2 linked regions of the Schizosaccharomyces pombe genome follow. The protein of the gene in region 1 interacts with the protein of each later gene in a biochemical or structural test. Each region holds a gene or a part of one and is shown on either strand. Other genes may lie near its edges. The genes, in order: apl2 and sip1.

The links.
Region 2: the proteins of apl2 (region 1) and sip1 form a complex in vitro, tested with the Schizosaccharomyces pombe proteins (2 studies listed by BioGRID).

Annotation. Positions count from the first base shown.
Region 1 is NC_003423.3:675,921-681,381, reverse strand, and holds apl2 (AP-1 adaptor complex beta subunit Apl2), read left to right. Parts: upstream 1-1,640; 5' UTR 1,641-1,747; coding exon 1,748-3,799; 3' UTR 3,800-4,254; coding exon of another isoform or gene 4,255-4,325; 3' UTR 4,326-4,473; coding exon of another isoform or gene 4,474-4,621; 3' UTR 4,622-4,749; downstream 4,750-5,461. Other genes in the region: knk1 (AAA family ATPase), read left to right, coding at 1-111, 160-568, 616-833; putative NatC N-acetyltransferase non-catalytic subunit Naa38, read right to left, coding at 4,255-4,325, 4,474-4,621.
Region 2 is NC_003423.3:1,333,818-1,338,869, reverse strand, and holds the start of sip1 (Pof6-interacting protein Sip1 AP-1 accessory protein), read right to left. Parts: upstream 3,160-5,052; 5' UTR 3,147-3,159; coding exon 2,900-3,146; intron 2,856-2,899; coding exon 2,777-2,855; intron 2,739-2,776; coding exon 2,690-2,738; intron 2,641-2,689; coding exon 1-2,640. Other genes in the region: SPOM_SPBC27B12.07 (uncharacterized protein), read right to left, coding at 3,708-3,871, 3,939-4,263, 4,375-4,758; gpi13 (pig-O family ethanolamine phosphate transferase), read right to left, coding at 5,048-5,052.

The sequences.
Region 1 (5,461 bases):
CTTCTTTTTGGCCCCCCTGGCACCGGCAAAACCATGCTTGCTCGTGCTGTTGCGACCGAAGCGAAAGCCACATTTTTTTCGATTTCGGCTTCATCATTAACCTCGAAATATGTAAGCAAGTTTTATATTTAACCCCATTCTTAACTAACCTTGATTTAGCTTGGTGATTCTGAAAAGTTGGTTCGAGCCCTTTTTGAAGTTGCGAAGCGCCAGACATGTAGCGTTATCTTTGTTGATGAAATTGATTCCATTCTTTCCGCTCGTAATGACAGCGGTAATGAGCACGAGAGCTCTCGTAGATTAAAAACAGAATTTTTAATTCAATGGTCTTCGTTAACTAATGCGGCTCCGGACAAGCAAACTGGTCACTCTCCCCGTGTTTTGGTGCTGGCAGCTACAAATCTTCCGTGGTGTATTGATGAGGCTGCTCGACGCCGATTCGTTAAAAGAACCTATATTCCGTTACCTGAAAAAGAAACAAGATATAAACATCTTTCTCATTTGCTTCATAATCAAGTACACTGTTTGACGGAGGAGGATCTGGAAGAACTTGTCAATCTTACCGAAGGTATGTATATAAATAATTCGATTGGTTAGTTAACTAACGCCATCTAGGTTATTCAGGCTCTGATATCACTGCTTTAGCCAAAGACGCAGCAATGGGTCCTTTAAGAAACTTGGGTGATGCTCTACTTACCACCAGTGCAGAGATGATACCTCCGATCAGCTTGAATCATTTTAAAGCTAGCCTTCGTACTATTCGTCCAAGTGTCTCACAAGAGGGTATTCATCGTTACGAAGAGTGGAATAAACAATTTGGTTCGCAACGTTAAAACAACTTTGTAGAGTATTCTACCTTTAATATTTTCAAGAAATCATATATTCTTTTGCATCAAAAAGGCAGGGTATCCTTTAATTTATTCAAACTTCCTTTCTCTCTTTTTAATTTTATCCTTTAATGTTTCTTAACGAATCATTTGGGTATCGTTTTTCTGGATATTATGAGAATTACCGTGCATTTAGGGATTGAATCGTGGATGCTGATTTTCATGTGGTTTCAATAACTTTCTTTTGCATAAACTTGGCTTATTACGAATTTTAATTTCTGTTTACCTTCATTTTATTTTCGTCTTTCCTACAACAACTAAAATGTATTCGTGATTTGACTATCGCTATAAACGACATTTTAAATCATAGCCGACTTGACAGCGCCTTTTACAAATGCTCCCCTTTTGTATTTTCCATCAATTCTCTTTATTTTATTTTTTCCATTTATCGTCATATTTATTTCGTTTACATACAGCCTCAACCTATTGGGCTACTTTTTTTCCCTTCACTATTCTCCAATTTTGAACAATAATTATTAGTTATTTAATGTTTGGAAAAGGGTATTGCTTTACTTGAATCGCATTTTTACGGCAATTAACTTATAGCTTTTATTGAAATAACATTTCAACCTCTTGTTTGTATACTGAATTAAATGTTTTAAAATTTATTTAAAGGTCATAATAGTAGCGTTTAAAGCATTGCAGGTTGAAAATGAAATCATGAATATATAGAAATTGGATTTCAGTATTCGATATTGTCACCTTTGTTACTTCTGGGAGTGGGTGTTTCTCACCGAATGGGTTTGACTTGACATGATTATTGAACCACTGCTTTATATATGTAAACGTGTTTTTGACCTTAGGACGTTTACCACCTTTAAAAGAGCTACATAAAGAGCGGAATTATACAATAGTACCGAATGGTTCCAAAGTTGTTTCAATCGAGCCGTTTTAAGGCATTTAAAAAAAGCGAAACAAGTGAATTACAAAAGGGACTAGTTTCTCAGTATGCCTACGAGAGAATTGATGCTGTGAAACGGACTATTGCCGCAATGACTGTTGGCAAGGATGTGTCTAGTCTGTTTCCCGATGTTTTAAAGAACCTAGCTACTCGCGATATCACCTTGAAAAAACTGGTTTATTTATATCTAATTAACTATGCCAAAACACACCCTGATCTTTGTATTTTAGCCGTTAATACTTTTGTAAAGGATTCTGAGGAATATAATCCTACTTTACGAGCTCTGGCAATTAGAACTATGGGTTGCATTCGGGTAAATAAAATCATTGGCTATTTGGCAGATCCGTTGCGAAAAGCTTTGAAGGATGAGCATCCCTATGTTCGTAAGGCTGCAGCGGTTTGTGTTGTAAAGATGTATGACCTTGATCGAGAATACTGTGCATCAAATGGTTTCATCGAACAATTGCAGGCGTTGGTATCTGATCCGAATCCTGTGGTTGTGGCTAATGCAGTCCGCTCACTTGCTGAAATTCATGATCAGGACCCTGAAAAGGGATATTTTAATGTAGTTTACACGATGACAGACAGGCTAATGGTTGCTTTGAGTGAGTGTAATGAGTGGGGTCGGATTACTATTTTGAATTCTTTAGCTAGATTTCGCACTTCTGATATCAAGGAAGCTGAATATGTTTGTGAAAGGGTGGTTCCTCAATTCCAACATGCAAATAGTGGTGTCGTTTTGTCCGCTGTGAAAGTCATAATGGTACATATCCCTCTCTTTTCCAGTGACTTTACAGACTTTCTGTACAAAAAAATGGCTCCTCCTCTTTTGACGCTACTTTCTACGGACTCAGAAATCCAGTATGTAGCCTTACGGAACATTAATTTAATATTACAAAAGAGGCCTTCTATTTTTGATGTCAAAACTCGGGTTTTTTTCTGCAAATATAATGATCCTCTTTATATTAAAATGGAGAAACTAAAGATAATTACAATGCTTGCATGTGACGAAAACATTAACGAGACCATTTCCGAGCTTCGAGCGTACGTTTCCGAAGTTGAACTAGAATTTGTGAAACAAACGATTAAATGCCTTGGAGACGTTGCATTGAAAGTTCCAAGCGTCATCAATGATTGCATCTCCATATTTCTTGAAATCTATGAGTTAAATATTAGTTATATGGTTCAAGAAGTCACGGTGGTGATGGAAACGGTTTTGCGCAAATACCCTCAAAAGATTGACTTATTACTTCCATATCTTTCTCGTGTCATTGAGGAGCTTGGTGACCCTAGAGCCCGTAGTAGTATGGCTTGGATTTTAGGGGAATTTTCACACGTTATACCTACTTCTTCTAAACTATTATCCGAAATGATTTCTACTATGGCGGATGAAGATTTACAGATTCAATTGGCTTTACTGACGGCTGTTGTAAAATTGAGTTTGATGAACGGCAAAGGAAACGATGAAGAACTCGTACAGAAAGTATTAAATTATGCAATTAATCAATCAAGCAATCAGGATTTAAGGGATCGTGCCTTTGCATATCAGCGGTTGTTGACACCTGAAAATGTTCGTAAAGCTCAAAAAATTGTTTGTTGCGAAAAGCCTTCCGTATCTTATAATAACAATCTACCTGAGGCACTTTTGGATGCTCTGTTGTGTGAAATCACAACTCTTGCTTCTGTATACCATAAATTACCGGAATCCTTTATTGGCCAGGGCAAGTTTGGCGCAGACGCAATACAGCGTCGAGCTGTTGAAGAATTGAACATTGAAGAAGCCAATGTTCATGAAGCTATTGAAAAAGGAGCCAACGTTGAAAATTTGCTTGACCTTGATTTTACTGATCCAGGCGCAACGTCTGCCAGTGATTCTCCAATAACCAGCGCACAACCTCAGTCGGGCTCAAATAGTGCAATGGATTTGTTCATGGCTTTTGAGGCACCGAGCACAAATAACGCTGAACCTGTAAAGGCTAGATCGGCAACAGATGATCTGTTAGGGCTTTAAAGATAAACGACAGATGAGTGGCATGATAGATGATGATTTGTTTTATTAATATTTATCTCGTTTCGTTTGTCTAATGGGAAAAACGGGATAAGGTTGATTGATGCACATCTAGTTTATGAAGATATGTTTCAATTGTTGTTTTTTCCCAAATCAGAAAGTCAATTTTAACATAGAAAGCATGTTCTTCTTTCGTTTTTATAAATAAATAAAAAAATATTTGTTAAAATGGATGCGAAGCAAAAATAGGGACTGCTCATTGCAGTAATCATTATCACTGAGGTGCTATCACGAGTGGTACAGATTGTAATGTTAATTATAGGCGTTTTTTAATCTGTACGAATGTAATGATTATCCCTGGCGATATTCGTTTTTGAATTCATTCCAATATATATATATATATATATATACATACATACGTAAGTGAGATGAAAATGTTAAGGAGATTTATGGGTGCTTTAGGCACGTACGGAGAAGCTTTTGATATGCTTTCCTGGAATCACCACTAAACCCAAAGCTCTAGAGAAGCCTGATTTCATTATATTAGTTTTGACGAAATTGGTGAAAAACAGAAAGAGGTACTAGCTGGAACGTTTGTTTTCAATTTAAACAGTAACCCAGCGAAAGTTTACTTGAATTTGAGGGACGCGCTATTCATGAACACATATCAATCTTACCTTTGTTGTATTCTGTGGTATTTGAGAGAATGGCAGCGCCTTCTCTGTCAGTGCACAAGAACTTTCCGATGAATTTTCTCTCATCAAAAATTTCAATATGAACTGACCGATTGAGCCAGCTGGTCAGTAAAATCTCTCCATTTTCCATGATCAAGGAAAATTCATCAAGCTTGGGGGAAGTGAAATCAATAGCAGTGGATATACATACTCTGAAAATACTAAACATTAACGCAATGCACAAAATTTGAACATCGTATTGTAAAAAGTAATGTAGTGCCATTAATATAACGCTATGCTATGATACACTACGTTGCGTATCACTATATGTCATATGTTGGAATACTAGCTAAGATCCGTTTATTGATAATCACGGGTAATTATCCGTCTATATACATAGATACCCGTTAATAACAACTATTTAGAAATATTATAAATAGCGTTACAACTGAACCTCGTTCCTCAGTTCAGTTATGAGCTATATTAGTGATAGGTAACATTATAACCCAGTTAATACAATACCTATACTCAGTTGCTACTTATACAACCTGTGTATTGTAATATAAATAGACCATAAGGAAAACTCACCGCAGTTCTCCGTATCCTTAAATCAGATACCAAACTGCGTAACATTAGGGAGAATTGAAAACTGTGCAATTAACATTGGTATTTTAAACAACGGAATTGGTGCATGTCTTTACATAGTATACGATATCACCTTAAGTATCACAAACTACGTATAATAGAGTAACTGAATGTGGGGTGAGTAATGGCAACGTAATGCTCTATAACATAGCGCGGACTATCCCATTTGCGATTTTATTTTGTATCGATCTTTTAGCATGTTGAAGAGTGTGTTTTGATGAAAGAGAAGGTAGATTACTATAATTACCGATCCTAAATACAACATGAATGTATTCTCATAAAGAATGGTTGAAATTATAATCCAGAAAGTAGGTATTTTTTCCTACTGATTTCAACCCTCTACGCT
Region 2 (5,052 bases), 660 kb from region 1:
GTTTCTCTTCTTTAAGAGCTGAACATCAATATCACATTCTGGCAATAGCATATAGCTCAATAAAATGCGTGTCTGGGCAGTTAAAACACTCGGAATGGTCTTTGCGATAGACCCAAGAGAAACGGAAGAAGCACGAATAGAACACTCTCTAACAAGGTCATTCGAATCAGTATTAAAAACTTTGAGCAGCTGATAAGCGGTGATGAGGGTAGTTTGGGGAACTCCGGAACCAACCTTTTTTAATATATGGCCAACGGCTAGAATCAAGACAGCCCTGCAATTTGGATCTCCCGACTCTGCAGCACGTTTAATTATTGTATCCAAAACGGACGTCGGTTTGCTTTGATATAAATATGCCAAAAACGCATAAGATTTCGAAATGTAAGGAATTAACTTCGGATCGTTAACAGCAGTCAAGTTTTCGAGCAATTCTATCATAAGGGATACAACCTTGTCAGGCAAGGTAACTTTTTTGTTATCGAAAGCAGAGAGAAATCCATAAATGGAAAATAAAGTATTTGCTGTTACTGCCTTGTAACGTAAAATATCTCTCCCACTCTTGAGGTTTGTCACAGACGCTACCATAATTTCGAGAGTGCTCTCCATAACCTTCGGAGGTTGATGACAAAACATAGACGCAAATAACTGGATCGCGTTATCAATTAAAGAAGTTAAAGACGGGGGTACGTAAGGAAGTTTTGCAGAGTTTGATCTCGAAATCACTGACAGGGAATCAGAAGATGACTCGCAAATATAACAAGGAAGTATATCATCCATGGTTGTTTGAAATTCTTCCTCTGGCTGAGCGTAAAATCGTGAACCAATTCCAGGTATAACTCTTGGAGAAGTAAAGGCTTTCGCTTGAACTATTTCGTCCGCAGTATCATATCCTTGTAAAGAAGAAAGTTCGGCTATAGTAGACACAGTCGTGGATAGTAATTCTTGATCATCTAAACTCATTCCACTTAACTGAGACAACTCGAAGAAACATTGGAAAATCCGAGCAAGCAAGAGAGAGCGAAGTTCCAAGTGAGAATAATCTGAAGCGGGAATTGGCATGGTAATTTCAAGCCTTTTGGTTAACGAAAAAGCTTTGTAGAATTTAAGGCAGTTATTTAGGAAAATAATGACTCGCTTCCTAACATCAGGTGTGAATAAAATCTTGTTATACTCCAAAAACGAAAGCAAGCACTGTAACGCTTCAAACCGATTAAACATGTCTGCATTTGTCTCCATGAAATTTTGTGAATGTATTTTTGAAGGTACTCTGGAAAGGGCATTCTTCCATAAAATTAGCAATTGGGACAATTGCATTCTAGTAAAAGAAGGACCAAAAGAAACGTAAGCGCTTAATAGTCGCCAACCAGTCTTGATTTGTGCTTGTGCCGCTAATAAATCCAATTTAGATGATGACTTAATCAAATCCAAAGAGAAGTTAAATAACTTTGAAAATATAGAAGAAGCAACATATAGAGGATTTTCTTCGGCGGCAACATAAATCGACATCAACGACAAAGTAAGATTATTGAAAATACCAACATTCAATTTGGGACTTACTTCCTTAGGTTTAGAACGAAGGTGCTTAAATTCCAACTCTAATCTATTAAAAAGAGCAAGCAAAGTGGGCATTAAAGGAGAAGGCATAACGGATAGTAAACAGCGCAGCAACCAGGCTACTTCATTCTTCAATGAATCTTTACCCAAGTATAGAATCTGTAGTGTAGTATCTAGTAACTGACTATATAAAGCAGTAGCCGAACCCTTTGATCGGCTTAATATATCAGCGGTGGAAGCCATCGCAGTCTTAACAGCAATTTCCGAAATCTTCGACTGATCTTTTAAATAAGGCTCTAACACTCTCTTTAAAAGTATTTCAATTCCCTGCAATTCAGAGCTTTGATCGAGAAATCGCCTTCCAATCACATCGCGAAACAAGTATGTACAATGATATTGCTCCAACGAAGACAACCATTCTTTTGAAGTAGAGTGTGATTGGTGTAATAGAATAATATCCACTATAGTAGTGTAGTTGAGAGAAACAAAGGATGGACGTTGCATTAGAAAAAGATGCTTAACGGCAAAAACAAGAACCGCTTTTGAGCTTTCATACTTTGCATGCTTGGAGTGATAATTTTCGACAAGAATCCGTAGGGCGTGACGAAAACTCTCAGTTTCATCAAAACGGCGAGTAGTAGACCGATTTTCTACTTCCTCATTGTTCTCATCATCCGCTGGAGTTGAGGGTACTGCGTTTGCAGCGGCTTCAATCGATTTGTCAGCTTGAGCACTTGCAAGTGCAGAAAAGCATCTTCCTAAAGAAGAATGGAGCAAAGAATTATCAATTGATGATTTTTTAAATAGAAAAGATTTGAACCATTCCAATTCTGAATTACGAAGACGTGAAGAGCCCAGAATGTAGTAAGCGCAACGAAGTGCAGATAAAAGAACATTCGTTGATGAAGTGTTTAAATTTGATTTAATACATTTCCATATTTCTTTTATCAAATCTTCATTCGTAGACTGAATAGATGTTTCAATGCATTTCGACAGTCCATCTAATGCGATTGAGCGAACTCCATATGACAAATTGGTTTTCGAATATTTGAAGAAAAATCTTATAAAAGTCTCTTGCTGATTGATCTATTAAGGTTAATTATAAGTTTATAGAAAATATCCAAAAGAGTAATACCTGATTTCCATATTCTTCCAAGCAAGAAGTCAGAACGGATAAAACGTTACTACCGGTTAGTTGATATTTCAAATATTCTAGACATACATAATCTCTATATAGTCTTTTTTCTCATGAATGCTATCCACGAAGTAAAGTAAAACTCGATGCTGATGATAACCCTCGACTAATACTTGTTAACATATACCATTTTCCATAAATCTCACATACGTCCTTTTAAGAGTGCAATTATACAGTTAGAAAGAAGTTTTCTAGTTGGATAAGCAATAAAATTTCCATATTTTTTGATTAACGAAAGTAGGGGATTTAAATTAGTTTGTAATGAATCCTCGCGAGTATTTTTGTTCAGATTCCTCAATTGTTTTTCGTAATTGAGTAAATCAATATATATGGTCTCCCTCTTATCTACATCAGCTACTTTCGTCAACTTTTCGAGCGGCAATGATGCTAACGACATATGTGGAGCGGCCAAACCAATTTCCCTAGGCTAAATCTATATACATTGAGTTGCGAGGTACTGAAATCTGCAGTCGACATTTACACGATTTACAATAAATTAATAATCAAATAGTCTATAGATAATATATTTATTATTATCATTATAATTAACCACTTTACTTATCAACCACGAACACAAAGATGTTTTAAATTGTAGGAGACTACTAGAATGCAATAGCCATTCCGAGTATCGTTAATTTTAAAATTAAATAAAACAACGAAAAGTCATTTATAGATTTAGTTTTGAAATGGACAAAAATTTTGTCTGAGAAGGCAAAAATCACAGCTCAACGCTAGTATGAGCATCTGCAATGCAAACAATTATTATGCTATTCATAATGGTATTTCCATGTACAATAAGAACAAGGGGTCTCATGATCAGAAGGAGTACTAATAAAACTTAATATTTGCATATTTCCATAAAACCTAATTGAACATTTTCATAAACAAAGAAGAAAACACAAAAAAAAAGAAAGGACAGATATTAATGAAGAGCTCGAAATGCTTTGCTGGCCATAACTCACATATGGGAGAGATTAGTATCAGTATAATCATCGCGCTTGTTATCTAAATTAAATGAACCTAAATTATCAAGCTCATCTTGTTTTTCTTTTTTTCTGCTTCGTACTCCAAGTCCAAATGGAATAACCAGCACTAAAAACCCTGTAAAAGCCATCACCACACCTGAAAAAGAAAAGGAAATTAATAAATGAAATTTCAAATACCTAGTTTGAACTATAAATATACTTACCTGCTGCTTTTCTTATTTGGTCCCATTTCTGCCTCTCATTTTCAGCCCTCAATTTACCTAACGAAACGGCTAATAAATTGTGTAGTTCAACAATTCTTGCACTCAATTGCTGGACTTCATTCTTTGTATCATTTTTCCGATTTTCAAACTCCATTTTGCTTTCGGTATTAAGCTTGTTTAACTGCTCGTGAACCAATTGTTCCAAACTTTCTACTTCCCTTTGGTTTGAAAACAAGCCTGAACGTAACGAACTGATTTGATCTTTTCTCATATTTATTTTCTCTGAGCGAAGCTCCGACAAAGCTGTACGAAACAAATAGGAGCACTATACAAGTTAGCTATGACAGTTCATTTGAAAGCAAAAAAAACCGTCAATCTATAATTAAAGATAAATTTAAAGACGGAAGGATTCTGTAGCTTAATAAATCATACGTACATTTTCAAAATCAGCTTCAGACAGGTAATTGAGATGACTATGTCGCAGCATATCAGTAACAAACATATTCGTGACTTCGAGAAGACCCTCGGCCTCTTTTTCTGTATATCCTTTATCCATTAAAGTTTTCAAAAATGTAAATGTGTTGAAGTGATATCCTTCAAGGTCTCTGAAAGGACGATTTTCGTGATTGGCATTTACTACTGAAAGACCCTTTTCCATTTCACCTGCATCTGTCCCTTCTGATGCATAAAATCGAATTTGCTTCGTTAAGGATAAAGAATAAGGAATTAAACGAAAAGTATTGATACTATGCACTTTAATCCCATGCAAGGTAATTCGGGATCGATTAACATCTATAGCTTTTCGTAGCAAAGAGAACATTTTGTCAAGCTACCAAATTTTGATTATAAATTAAGCAACTTATTAACAGACATAATTAATTTTTGTTAAAAATTGGGTACGATGATTGTGGTGAATGTTAAATGTACATATCAGAAGGCGTAAAGGAGTAGTATGGGTGTACCCATAGAAAATAATAATGATGAAAATGCATTGATAAGTGGTTTTGATTATTTCCTTATAAGGTTTAAAATGTTAAAGGATATAAAAGAAAATATTTCTACAATTCTAATTATACGTCAAATTGAACGAGGGCAGTGAAGCTTTATTGTTATT